Linked DNA regions of Rattus norvegicus. The protein of the gene in region 1 purifies or fractionates together with the protein of each later gene. This does not show direct contact. Links are inferred from orthologs where the notes say so. Each region holds a gene or a part of one and is shown on either strand. Other genes may lie near its edges.

Region 1 (7,268 bases):
TGCTGAGCATCATGGTGTGATGGGGAGCTCTCTGAGTCTGGTTGCTGAGCTGGGAAGGAAGCTGCCAGGTTTTGTAGTCAGACGTTGAGTCATATGTTAGGCTCAAGTGTTGGGCCTGTTGAAATAGCATCTGATCTGTCTTTACAGTTCATGCTGGTCTACAATCAGAGCCCTATGTGCCTCCTCCCATGGCCTGAGTCTTTTGTTTTGAGTCAGGGTCTTGCTATGTAGATCAGGCTGGACTTGAACTCTCCATATTCCTGCTTTGTGTCTGAAGTGCTAGGCATATACAGACCTGTACCACCTACCACCTGACCTGGTGTGGTCTGTCTCTCTCTGTCTCTGTCTCTCTTTCTTTGCTGAGCCGTCTCTCCAGTTCTGTTTTTCAAAGGCATATAAAACATAAGTAGTCTAAAACTTTTCATTAATATTATAGAGTAGACCTAATAATGAGACTGTTAGGCATGTTACAAAACTGGGGATGTGGCTTGGTGGTAGAGTGCTTTCCAATCTAGAGTGTGCTGTGTGGGTGGAAGGAAAGAAAGAAAAGTTACACCCGCTAGTGTTGGTTACTTTTATCAGTCTGTGTCTTTATCCTTTGTACATTTGAGAAGTATTTGTTATTTCCAAGAGAGGTGAAGCAGTAGCACATCCCATGCTTTCTTTATCTACTCCCAACCCCAGAAGGCGATGACAAAAAGTGGATATCTATTGACTGGTCAGTTAAACAAACGGAAATGCCTTGACATAAAAATCATCCAAAATCTAATTTTAAAATGTAAAAAAAAAAAAAGACAGTATAACTTTTTATTCACCCAGTTTTTAGCGAGAATTGTATACAAGATAACTCTGTTCCTACATCTCGTTTGTCTGTTCTTTGTGTTTTTCCTTTTTTTCCCTAGGCTTTTGTCTTTCTGTTCCACGCTCCCCCAAACCCCCTTGAGCCTTTGTCCAACTTTAGCCTGCGCTAATCACTTTTCTGGGATGACTGCCCACATAGCAGTGTACCACAGTCTTTTCCCACTGCACATGTACAGAGTAGATGGCGTCATTTTATACTGTAAATCTGAATTACTTCTGCTGAGTTCTGTAGTGCCCTTGGACAACCTAAATGTCATCATCTTTTAGGGTGGGTATATGTCTAATGCTAGGCCTCTGTCTCTGCTCTTTGGAAAAAGGAAAAGTCATTATGTTCTTCTGAGTGTGAGAAGCTGCAGTCAAAGCCTTCTGTGGTTCTTGCTTTGGTCAGAGTCACAAAGAATTAAACTCCAGCAATGGCCAACAAAGGGAAGAGCTGTATATAGTTTTAATGATCTAGTAATCCTTTCCTTAGATGTCAGCAGACTACTTATGTACTTGTCGGCACCGGGTCCTCTACGTCAGCAGTACTTACTCTTAACCTCTGAACCATCTCTTCTGCCCAATATTTCTGTGTGGTTTTTTTTTTAATGGAACCTGCTTGTAATTATAATTTTATGTTGCATCTTCTAGCAGTTTTCTTAATACATTTTAATATTTAATGTTATAGACTTAGAACCACTGCTGTTTAGTTTTTCCTTTTTCTTTCCTCCTGCTCCTCCCACTCCTCCTCCTCTTTTCTTTTTCCGTCTTCTTTTTTTTTTGGAGACAGGGTCTCTGTACAGGGCCCTGGCTGTCCTATGTAGATTAGCTAGCTGGCCTACTTAACAGAGGTCTGCCTGCCTCTGCCTCCTTGTGCTGGGATTAAAGGGATTACCATGCTTGATTTTGGTTAGTTTTTTAATTTCAGTTGATAGCTCACTTTGGTTGATTTAAAATGATCATAGAAATTATAGTTATCATGACTTCTTCCACTTTAAAATCAAGTCACAATGATAAGTAAGGTCATATAATAACTAACAGTTACTGTGTAAAGAATTAAAATTTAGTGTATTACAGCAGTGGAATGCCTGAAAACTCACAGAATTACATAAAGCTTTAAGTTAGGTGCCTTTGTGTTGCAGGTACTGGTCCAAGTACTAAGAATATACCAGTGAGCTCTGCCCACAAAGCAGACATTTATGTATGTGTGTATGTATGTATGTATGTGTTTATTTTTAAATTTATTTATTTTTTGTTTTTGACATTTATAAACAGTCTTTGTAGTAATAAATGTCGCACTGAGAATTAATCAGGTTTGTTTGTTGAGGGGAGGAGATAGACTGTTTTGGCTGGAGTGTCAGGTAAGGACTCTTTAAAAGGCTGTCTTGGTGGAGACAGGTAGTGGAAAGGCCATCTTGACTGTTTGTGGGATTTTCATTCTTTTGGGTGAAGGGAATAAGAAATTCTCAGGTATGAATACTGGTATGTTCTGGTGGGTTTGTTTGCCTTCTTTTAAAAACAAGGTTCCACTTTGTAAGCTCTGACTATCTAGGAACTGGGTGTTTTGACCAGAATGACCTCACACAGAGATCCACCTGTGTCTGCCTTCCAAGTGTTGGGATTAAACCGTTACTGTTACCAGTATGACTGGCATGTTCTGAAAGCAGTTTTAGAGGCCTGGTTAAGGGGTTCAGAGTTTATTCTGAGTTTTAAGCAAGGGGGTCACATGATGCACAGTCTGCATTTGTTCAGGTCCCTAATGAATAGTATTTGCATGGGCCCTGCATGTGTCTCTGATGTAAGTCCCAGAGAACTCAGGATTGCTAATCTAGTGTAAATGTTGTGCAGATAGTCACACAGTGACGAAAAAGAAGTCTGCATATGTTCAGTGTAGACACACACACACACACACAATCTTTTGTTTTCAATTGTTGGAGTCGATGGCTGTGGACCCACAGATGTGGCACAGGAGTCTGGTTGCAGTTAGTCCCCAGTTTCTTTTCGTGGGCTGAAAATTTAGCACATAGTGGGAAGTCAGGGAGAAAGTTCTGGTTGAAAATGAGGTATAAGTTACATTTTCTTTAATTCTAGCCATCTCATCCCCGACTAAGTGATTTGTGTGTCAGGACTGTATGTGAGACAGTGAGAGCTGTGGAGTTAGAGCTGCCCAAGTGTGCATCTTAGCCTGGACACTCAGAGTATGTTGTAAGAATTCTCTCTGCTCTAGATGGGACATCACTTCTATTAGTATCTAACTGTACATATCAAGGTGGATAATAGGAATGGGTCATATGTATATATGTAAATTTCTATATGTGCTATGTGTGCATGCATGCATATATGTATGTGTACATGCATGCTCTGTATTCTGCCTCACAATAGAGGCTCCTGGTGAATTCTAGCTCTTGCTAGATAGACAAAAGTGTCCGACAGAAGGCTTGAAGGAGGATTCTCTGCTAACCTTATAGTTTTCTAGAGGAGGAGAACCATTTACTTTGCCTGCTTGCTGACCTGCAAGTGTCTGGGCATTCCTAGTCCTTATGCCTGAGGCATGTTACGTGGTTAAAACATCAGATTGTGATGGGTTAAATGACCGGTTTTCTTCTTTGGTTCTGCACCCAAACCGAATGCTGAATGTTACAGTGGAAAATTCATGGACTTTGTAAATAGATATGGAATCTGGGAGTTTTGGGACAGCTAGGGTGATTTCTCTGGTTTAAAGAGAAAGTAAAATGAAGATTTAAAAGCTGAAGTTCTTATACAAATTAAATGAGAAAGCTTATCCATAAAAATATACACATATGGTATCTACAGTGCATCCTGGGAATTAAGTTTTCTGCTTTTCTCTTGGAGGCAGGACTCCCTACTCCCCAGTGCATAATTCTCAGAGTTTAAAATATATTGCTCATGGACAGAGGTGATGACCCAATTTATTCATACATTGTAATCAAAGAAAATAAATATATATGAAAAATACGGACTAGAAGCCAGGCGATCTTGGCTTATGCTCTAGGTTAGCTTTGAATTTTGGTCTCTTTTTCTTTCATTTTATGGAAATACACCACTATATTTCTTTCCTGACTAACTTGCTCTCAGATTACAAAAAGCTGTATATCACTGTTTTTACAACTTTCTATATTGTGTTCTTGGGTTAAGTACTTTTTCTCTAGAATTATAATTATTTGTCTTTCAGGTATAAGTATTGTTGAAATTGCATCAATGGAGCACATACAGGGAGCTTGGAAGACGATCAGCAATGGTTTCGGACTCAAAGATGCTGTGTTTGATGGCTCCAGTTGCATCTCCCCTACAATTGTTCAGCAGTTTGGCTATCAGCGTCGGGCCTCTGATGATGGCAAACTCACGGATTCTTCTAAGACAAGCAATACTATCCGGGTTTTCTTGCCGAATAAGCAAAGGACTGTGGTATGTGACCCTAGAAAATGTCGTTCTCCTGCTCTTGGAGACTGTGCTCTGCTGTCCAGTTTATATATGGGAGCATCTTCTTGTCACTTGGGGTCTCTTAATTGTTTTTTTTCTCCCCCAAGTGAGATTTATTTTTATTTTTAAGAAGACCTATTTGTTTTATCTCTCTCTATATAAGTGTTCTGTCTTCATGCAGAAGAGAGGATCAAATCCCATTACAGATGGTTGTGAGCCACCATGTGGTTGCTGGAACTCAAACTCAGGAGCTCTAGAAGAGCAGTCAGTGCTCTTAACTACTGAGCATCTCTCCAGCCCTTCAGATTTATTTTATGAAAAAAATCACTGTTCTGCTCGCACTCCCTATTGTGTTCTAACATTGCCCACAAAGGCTTTTTTTCTGCATCCTTATTTTTTGGGGAGGAGGAGAGGATATTTCTGATACTTTTTTCTTTTGAAACATTTTAAACATTTATATTTATTAGTTTTATGTGTGTTCATGTGTTTGTGGTGCTTGCATGACATAGAAGTGAGCAAACAACTTGTGTGAGGAGATTCTTCTCGTTTATTACCACATGGGTTTTGGGGATTGAACTCAGACTGTCAAGCTTGGCAGCAGCTGCCTCGGTCCAGAGCCATCTTGCCAGTTCTTAGCCATTTCTTTGAGAAGATTTTTTTCTTTTAGTTTCTAAGCTAATTAAAATAATTAAAGAAGGAAAAAAAAGAATGCAAAGTATTGACTTAATTTTTGAGATTGCAATTAAATATGATGAAAGTAAAATTTTCTGGGTTATTTCACTTTAGGAAAAAGGTCTAGATTTTTAATTTTGAAAAAAAAATGTAGTCTTTGTTTTATGTGAATGGGTGTTTGCTGCCACGTATGTCTGTGTGCCCATAGCGGCCAGAAGAGGACATTGGATTACCTGGAACTTGGGTTACTGACAGGAGCTACCACGTGGTGCTGGGAACTGAGTGTGGCTGCTCTGGAAGAAAAGCCAGTGCTTTTAACTATTAGGCCATCTCTCCATCTCCTTGGAAAAGGTTATTTTGTTATTTCATAGGCCCAAGACAGACTTTTAGGTTGCTTAAGAAGAAACTCCTGCCTTGTCTCTTCTCAGGGCACAAAATATTTCTGCATTTTCTCCATGGAATCGGTGACAGGTTCATGTTGGAACCAGATATTGTCAACAGGATTTCCTGACGTGAAACCCATTATTTTCTAAAGACCCATTGTTCAAAAAACCCTTTACTGTTCTGAACTTTAAAAGCAAAAAACCTGTTTGGCTAAAACAGAAGAGTGAAGTTCTATTGGTTTTTGTTTGTCAGGTCTTGTTTAAACCTAAACTGAGAACTTGTCCATCCTTGCCCTCCCACTCCATGGTCTGTGGAGCACAGTGTCTGACATCTGTTTGTTCCTTTTGGCTCTGAGACTGCAAGGCCAGCCAGAGCTTTTTTTGGTTTTCTTCTAACAGTTCCCTCTGGTCTTTCTAGTTAATCCCTTCATCATTATTTATTTTGTGTGTGTGATTTGTACCTGAGTGTTTGTCAGTGCCATGGGTATGCAGTGCCCATAGAAGCCAGAAGAGGACATTGGATTCTCTAGATCTGAAGTTAGAGATGGTTGTGAGCTGCTGTGTTGGTGCTCAGCATGAATGGTCTTAAGTTTGAGGCTTATCTGGGCTACCGAGTGTTTTCAGGGTTCATAGGCAGCTTAATTTGAGATTCAAAATAAGTTAATTCTTTCTTTTTTGTTTTTTGTTTTTTTAAAGAAGGTTTCTGAGCAGCTACCTTAAGATAGGGACACAGTGTTTGTGTCAGTTAGAAGTGCTGGCTGGTGTTTCTTTCAGACTGAGTACAAGACTCTATCTCTCTATTTACTTTTCCACTCTGGAGTTCAGATTCACAGAGCAGGTGTTTCAGAAATAAATCTGTAGTGCCGACATTAGATCATACACCTTCTAGCTGTGCTCCCTTCCCTGGATCCAGAACTTTGAGTTGTAGGTTGTCTAGCGCAATTCTTCCAAGTCAGGACCATGTTGGCTAGGTCACATGGAACCTCCCGCTTCCCCTAAGCATGTAAGAACCTGGGAACCTGGCCTTTGTTCTTCTTGACTGAAGATGTCCTTTGTCTCCCCCTTGTTGTACTTCTGTAGTACAATATTCCAATCTAATACCTTCCTTTAGGGCTTACGGTGGCTAGTTATGGCTGTGAGCTCATAACTATTCTTTTAAATGTGTCAGCTCTCCTAATGCTACATGTCCTGTTTCTACCAACCTGCACTGATTTCAGATCGGCTTATTTAAAGCTTATTTCTCCATGGGTAAAAATGAAAATCTTCACTTGTTAGTATTGCTTCATACAAGAAAGGTCATTTTAATACTAAAAGAGTAAAAAGGGCTATTTCAAGGTGAGAATGGATTTTATTCGAAGGTGCATCACATGACAAAATAATTCAGCATGTCATAAATAATGGAGTTATTCTTCATGTTGCTGAACACTGTGATTTAGAACCAGATTTAATACTTATTTGGGTCCATTTGTAGATGATGTTAAAAACTAACAGCCATTGAGGCTGCAGAAATGGCTGTACAGTTAAGAGGGTCCCAGAGTTCAACTAGCAGCACCCTAGTTAAGCAGCCCACACCCTCCTGCTCCAGGGGACTTACATCTGTAGTCTCTGTTACAGTGCACCTGCGTTTATGTACATCCCCCCCCCCCCCAACATAGTTAGAAATAGTAAAACCCCTCTAACAACGAAAAGAGAAGCCAACAGTAGTGGCTGCTAATAGTATTTCTGAGTGTTTTATTCATCTGTGTAATCCTTGACACCTTTGTTGGGACATAGCAGGTAGTTGGGATTGATATCTCCTGAAGCGTATGGGAAGCACAAAGCAGATGTTAGTTTCTTCTATTTCTTTGGCAAAAGATGGAGCACCCTTCTCTGGGAAAACCAGTGGTGGAAAGTGCCCTCAGGCAGTCAGCACTCTTTCCCCTGTCCTAGAGT
Region 2 (6,063 bases), on another chromosome or scaffold:
GTAACCGTTGTGGTCACAACAAGGGTCACAGCATTAGGAAGGTTGAGAATCACTGATTTAAGAGATCAGGCATCCCACACACCTTTTCTGCATGTACCCCCTCTTCTAGATGTCTCCAGTAAAGGGCAGCTTACACCTAGAGCCACATGACTTTTCGTAGAATATAATGGTCATGCTCACTCTTCAAGGCAACCTTTCTCTGATCCAGATCCTTAGTGAGCCTCCGTCAATTCCCATGGTTTACCTTTAGGCCAGCAGTTTGGAACCTCTGGGATACTATTCCTTTGGGTCTCACATATTAGATATCCTTCATATTAGATATTTATAATTTATAATAGCAAAATTACACTTATGAAGTACAACACAATAATTTTATGGTGGTGGTGGGGTCATCACAATATGAGGAACTGTATTAAAGGGTCGGCAGCATTAAGAAGGTTGAGAGATACTGCTCTAGGCTTTGCACACTGTCTAGGCCTCTAAGGTCACACCAAGCTTAGAGACTCTGCCAAAGAAGACTTCTCCCCTCAAAACTCCTCAGGGCCCAAGGTGGATGGAACAGTGAGTTAGGCAGGTACAAGGTGTACCCATCTACATGCATCACATAGCAGGCACCTTCTGATTGTGCCCATTGGCATGCCCTGGACCTTTGGAAAGCTGCTTGGTCCTACAGTGTTGGCGGCCTCTTGTCCCAGTGCTAGCCCCATTTCCTCCCGGATGGAACTAGGCGGCAGAGAGGACGGTGGGAATGGGCCTGTACAGGTGTGCAGGCCAGGGCCATGGAGCCTGTGAAGACCAGCGGAGATGGGTAGCGAGTGCCAGGGGTCTGTGGGTGGTTATGTAGGTGATGAGAGTCCTGTATGACAGCACTTGTGCACACAAAGAGCTCGCAACAGCGTCAGGCGCTGTGGAAAGGTTTGCTCTCAGGATTGGACTCTTCACATTGCTGTGGACCAGACTGTGGCTGAGAATCCTAGGCACTGGAAATCAGGATGAAGCCACAAAGGTGTGTAAGATTTCACAGCTTGGGAAATCACAAGCCAGTTTTGGTCCGCTGAGAACACTTGTCGCCCCTCTAGTACGTTGAGCTTTAGCACCCTCAGATAGCCTAGCTAGCCCCGCCCCTCAGCTGCCTAGCTCTCAAAGGAAGTCTCCGCTGCCCCAAAATCTCTCCCGCAAGCCCCTCCCTCTTCCTGTTCGAGTCAATCTCACACAAGTGTGACGTTTGTATTTGCCAGTCCAGCCTGCTAGACTGGTCTGTACTGGCCGCTCCGGCGGATTTGGGCCTGCCCTGAGGAGAGCGCGCAACCTGCGTAGCAGCGGCTGTGACGCAAACGTGACGGCGGCTTGACGCGCCCACAGCCGCTCTTGAGGCGCTGGCGCTTCCTCTGCTAGGCTCCGAGCTGTCTGTTTCTTGGGCCCTGTGTATAGGTGCCGGCCGCCCCTGGCGTTCAACACCGCTTCCAGGTGCCGGCCGTGTCTGCCATGGACGACTATGCGGTTTTGTCCGATACTGAGCTGGCCGCAGTGCTACGCCAGTACAACATCCCGCATGGGCCTATTGTGGGTATGCTGCAGCCGGTGGCGCTCAGAACCTCTCGGTCCCCCGCTTTCCCGCGCTCCTCCCTGAGCGTTCTTCCTACCTCCTCCTTCCCTCAGGTCCCCTCCCCGTGTTCCCTTGTGCTCTTGGGGTGCTCGGCTCGCACCCGCTGACCGCTTCGCACCCTGTGTCTGGGCAGGCTCCACTCGCAAGCTCTACGAAAAGAAAATCTTCGAGTACGAGACCCAGAGAAGGAGGCTTTCGCCCCCCAGCTCGTCATCGTCTTCATTCTCCTATCGGTTCTCAGGTGAGGCTCCAACTGCACAGCCCCAAAGAGCAGCTTGGGGCACAAGGCGCAGGGAGGGAGGGTGTGGCTGAAGCTACTGAGGGAGTAGGGGGAAGTCTGGAGATTGAAGGTCCTGTACCTTCTCCTCCACATGCAGACTTGGATTCAGCCTCCGTGGACTCAGACATGTATGATCTGCCCAAAAAGGAGGACGCCTTACTTTACCAGAGCAAGGGTAAGGCAGGTGTGGGATGGGCACTGATGTCTTTATCCCATGCTTCAGGGATTTGGGCACAGTGAAACTCCAGACCTCACCCCCTTGTACCAGTTCTCAGTGGCTTCAGAGAGAAGAAACTGGCACAGCACACACACAGACTGGGGGGGGGGGGCGGAAGGTGGCAAGAGGCCAGGTAAGGGGCACCACTTTTTCCTCTACCACTGTTTTCTTCCTCAAGACTATAATGATGACTACTATGAGGAGAGCTATTTGACTACCAGGACATACGGGGAGCCCGAGTCTGTGGGCATGTCCAAGAGCTTCCGCCGGCCAGGGACCTCACTTGTAGATGCTGATGATACCTTCCATCACCAGGTGAGTTGTCTGGTAGGCATACCTGGGGTGTATGTAGCCTTAGGGAATTCTAGGTTTGGATAGTTCAAGGAGATACTAGGTGCAGAGAGTGGATCTTAGGCCTTCAAGTATGGTTAGGATCAGCATACAGTTGTTGGCTCAAAAGTTCTACGTTGGAACCTCCAAAACTATTAGATTTGGGGATGAGCATATATAGCTCAGTAGAAGAGCATTTACCTATGGTTTCATCTCCAGCATCCAGCAGCACACACAAATGTTTTTGGGGTTTTGGCATTTTTAAAAATTTAATTACTTTAATTATACCTATGTGTAGCCAATTTTTTGTTAGTTTGTGGGTTCCCCTCACCCTTTCACCCCCAATCATTAGATAGAGAAAGAGAGCTAAAGATCCCTGAATCTAATTTCTTTCTTCCTTGTGTCTTCTTTGACCCCAGCTACTAGCAAACTGTAACCAACCTCACCTATTGGGGCTCTAGTATTTACATACCCTCTGAAAAATTCCCAGAATTCCAAATACCACAAAATTGCAGAAACTATCTGCAACTCAAAAGCATGAAGCAAATCATAGCTGCTGTAAAACAGCCCCATATCCCACATCTAGGGTTAAAATAAAAACATTCTTATAATATTTCTGTGTTTCTTAAGCCAAATTTCAAGAATTCTCACTACATGTATGTGTCTGTGGGTAGTATGCATGAGTGCTGGTGCCTACAGATGCCAGAATTGTCAGATTTCCCCTTAGATTCCCCTTAGAGCTAGAATGGCAAGTAGTTGTAAACTGCCTGATGTGAGTGCTGGAAAATGACCTTAGGTACCTAGGAAGAACAATAGGTGCTTTTAACCACTGAGGCATCTCTGCAGCCCACAAACTTTTATGATCTGAGCATATATAACAGCACCTGTACTCTAGGATGTAGGTTTAAGCCTCCTGAGAATCCTGGGGAATAAAAGGATGGTGGGACAAAGTTGACAAGGTTTGTAACTGGGTGGCAAGGCCCCACAGTTAAAGAGGGCATGGACCCAGAATGATGGGGGGGCAATTTTCTGCCCCCTACAATGTGACTAGAGTAGGCTAGCCAGAGACATTTGGGGAAACCATTCTTTCCCATTTCTAATCCTAATTATCCGGCAGGTGCGTGATGACATTTTCTCTTCTTCAGAAGAGGAAGGCAAGGATAGGTGAGTAGTGAACACATGTAGGGACAGGGACAAGTTTGACACTCAGACTCTCCTGCCTACCTGTCCCCTTCTTTTGCTACAGGGAACGCCCCATCTATGGCCGAGACAGTGCCTACCAGAGCATCGCACACTACCGCCCCATTTCCAATGTCTCCAGGAGCTCCCTGGGCTTATCATATTATCCTACATCCTCCACCTCTTCTGTGTCCTCCTCTTCATCTTCTCCCTCTTCATGGCTTACCCGACGTGCCATTCGACCAGAAAAGCAGGCCCCTACTGCTGCTCTGGGCCAGGATCGACAGGTCCCACTCTGGGGCCAGCTGTTACTCTTCCTGGCCTTTGCTGCCTTTCTGCTCTTTGTTTACTATTCCATACAAGCTGAAGAAGGCAACCCCTTCTGGATGGATCCCTAAGGGTATTGGTTTCAGAGCAGCTCTTAACAGGAGTTTTGGCTGACTGCCTTAGCAGTGTTTGCTGGGGGTGGGGGGTAGGGGCTTTTTTGTGTATTCTAGTTAGAGGGTACAGGGCCTAGCCTACGGCAGTGCTTGTCTCCACCTCATCTTGCCAAGGAAGCAGCAAATGCTGGCTTTCCACAGCCCAGTAGGCCCGTATGTACCTTCCTCTGGAGCCTCCTAGCCTTATTGCCTCTGACTCTTAGGGTATGGGGATCTGGTGGGGAGGACCTCACTTCATTAGAGGAAAACTTGGTGGTGGCAGTGGTAGTTGTCATGCATGCCTGTTTGTTGTCACCTTTTCAGGGGGTATTAACAAGGCCATCCTGGCTTTGCTTTCGTGGACACAATAATAAACATGTTTATTTTTACCTTGTTGTTTCTTCCTACTGGGATGGGAGCTGGGCTGCCATGGCACACAGGTGCTTGGTTTTAGGTCTCAATAATCAGTGTGGCTTTTCCCTTTGGTTGTGCTTGGTCTTGGGGAAGGAATCAAATGCTACCCATAGATAAGTCTATGTTTTAGTTGTGGGTTTTATTTCTGGGCCAACTCCCTGAAATACTTATTATAACCACTTAGAAAAATAACTACCATGTAATTAAATGTGTAGATAAGCCTATGGGAAATGTAGGCAAAACTGCATATATGATCATATATGCAGATACTTTAGTCAGGAGAGGCTAACACCAACATCTGAGGTTACCAGGATAGAAAAGATATGAGGCATCATGCCAGTACATTGTTCAGCTCCTGGGATTGGTGGCATGATAATAAGATTCAAAGGCTACAGTGCACCCATGGCTATTCTAATTCTTTGCCTGTTTATTCTTGCTCAGTTTTTAGATTTTCTTTGGAGATAATCTTTTTGTATACTGCGTTAAAATGTTTCTGTCCTTCCTTATCTGCCTAAGGTACCTACTGATTGGTTTAATAAAGAGCTAAATCGAGGGACTTCTGGGCATAGAGAGGGACTCTGAGGTCAGCTAGACATGGAGGAAGAATAGGTGACTGGTACTGAGGATCAGTTGTGAGCCATGTAGCAGAATGTAGAATAGTATAAATGGGTTGATGTAAGTTATAAGAGCTAGTTGGGGGTAAGCCTAAGTTAAGGCCAAGCTTTCATATTAATGAAAAGTCTTTGTCATTATTGGGAGCTGGCACTGACCTGGGTTGCCAGATGTAACCAAGCTGTCTCTTTGGTACCAGTTCCCAATAATGACATAGATACCTTTTATTATGAAAGCTTGGCTTTAGCTTGCTCACTCTCAACTAGCTCTTAATTTTTTTAGATTTACTATTATTTTATTTATATGAGTACACTGTCGCTCTCTTCGGACACACCAGAAGAAGGCATCGGATCCCATTATAGATGGTTGTGAGTCACCATGTGGTTGCTAAGAATTGAACTCAGGACGTCTGGGAGAGCAGTCAGTGCTCTTAACTGCTGAGCCATCTCTCCAGCCCCCAGCTCTTAATTTAACATACTTCTACATTCTGTCAGGTAGCTCATTACCTCTCCTCAGTCCCATATGTCTCAAATCTTCCACCTCTGACTTTCCCACAGTATCCCTTTCTGCCCAGAAGTCCTGCCTATCCTCTAAACAAGTCAGGAGGTGCATTGGGCAGGTGAGGAAGGACATACACACCTTCACACAGTGAATGATTATCCCAACAGTTTTTCTATCTTGGATACATAGTATATAATATTAAAAGGTTTTTTTTTTTAATCCAGGCATGGTGCTACACACCTTTAATCTCTGCACTTAGCAGAAACAGAATGATCTCTTTGTTTTTTGTTTTTTTTTAAAGATTTATTTATTTATTATATATAAGTACACTGTAGCTGTCTTCAGATACACCAGAAGAGGGCATCAGATCTCTTTACAGATGGTTGTGAGCCACCATGTGGTTGCTGGGAATTGAACTCATGACCTCTGGAAGAGCAGTCGGGTGCTCTTAACCGCTGAGCCATCTCTCCAGCCCCAGAATGATCTCTTTGAATTAAAGGGTACC

The links. The genes of interacting proteins can lie anywhere in the genome.
Region 2: the proteins of Raf1 (region 1) and Emd purify together in Homo sapiens (affinity purification with mass spectrometry; 3 studies listed by BioGRID and IntAct, with this or other methods). This does not show direct contact. The link is inferred for Rattus norvegicus from reciprocal best matches to the Homo sapiens genes RAF1 and EMD.

The regions. Positions count from the first base shown.
Region 1 is NC_086022.1:150,372,464-150,379,731, reverse strand, and holds part of Raf1 (RAF proto-oncogene serine/threonine-protein kinase), read left to right. Parts: intron 1-4,033; 5' UTR 4,034-4,059; coding exon 4,060-4,266; intron 4,267-7,268. UniProt on the Homo sapiens protein: Serine/threonine-protein kinase that acts as a regulatory link between the membrane-associated Ras GTPases and the MAPK/ERK cascade, and this critical regulatory link functions as a switch determining cell fate decisions including proliferation, differentiation, apoptosis, survival and oncogenic transformation.
Region 2 is NC_086039.1:157,189,060-157,195,122, forward strand, and holds Emd (emerin), read left to right. Parts: upstream 1-1,378; 5' UTR 1,379-1,485; coding exon 1,486-1,567; intron 1,568-1,659; exon of another isoform or gene 1,660-1,739; coding exon 1,740-1,847; intron 1,848-1,983; coding exon 1,984-2,061; intron 2,062-2,281; coding exon 2,282-2,418; intron 2,419-3,550; coding exon 3,551-3,597; intron 3,598-3,679; coding exon 3,680-4,010; 3' UTR 4,011-4,390; downstream 4,391-6,063. UniProt on the Homo sapiens protein: Stabilizes and promotes the formation of a nuclear actin cortical network. Stimulates actin polymerization in vitro by binding and stabilizing the pointed end of growing filaments. Inhibits beta-catenin activity by preventing its accumulation in the nucleus.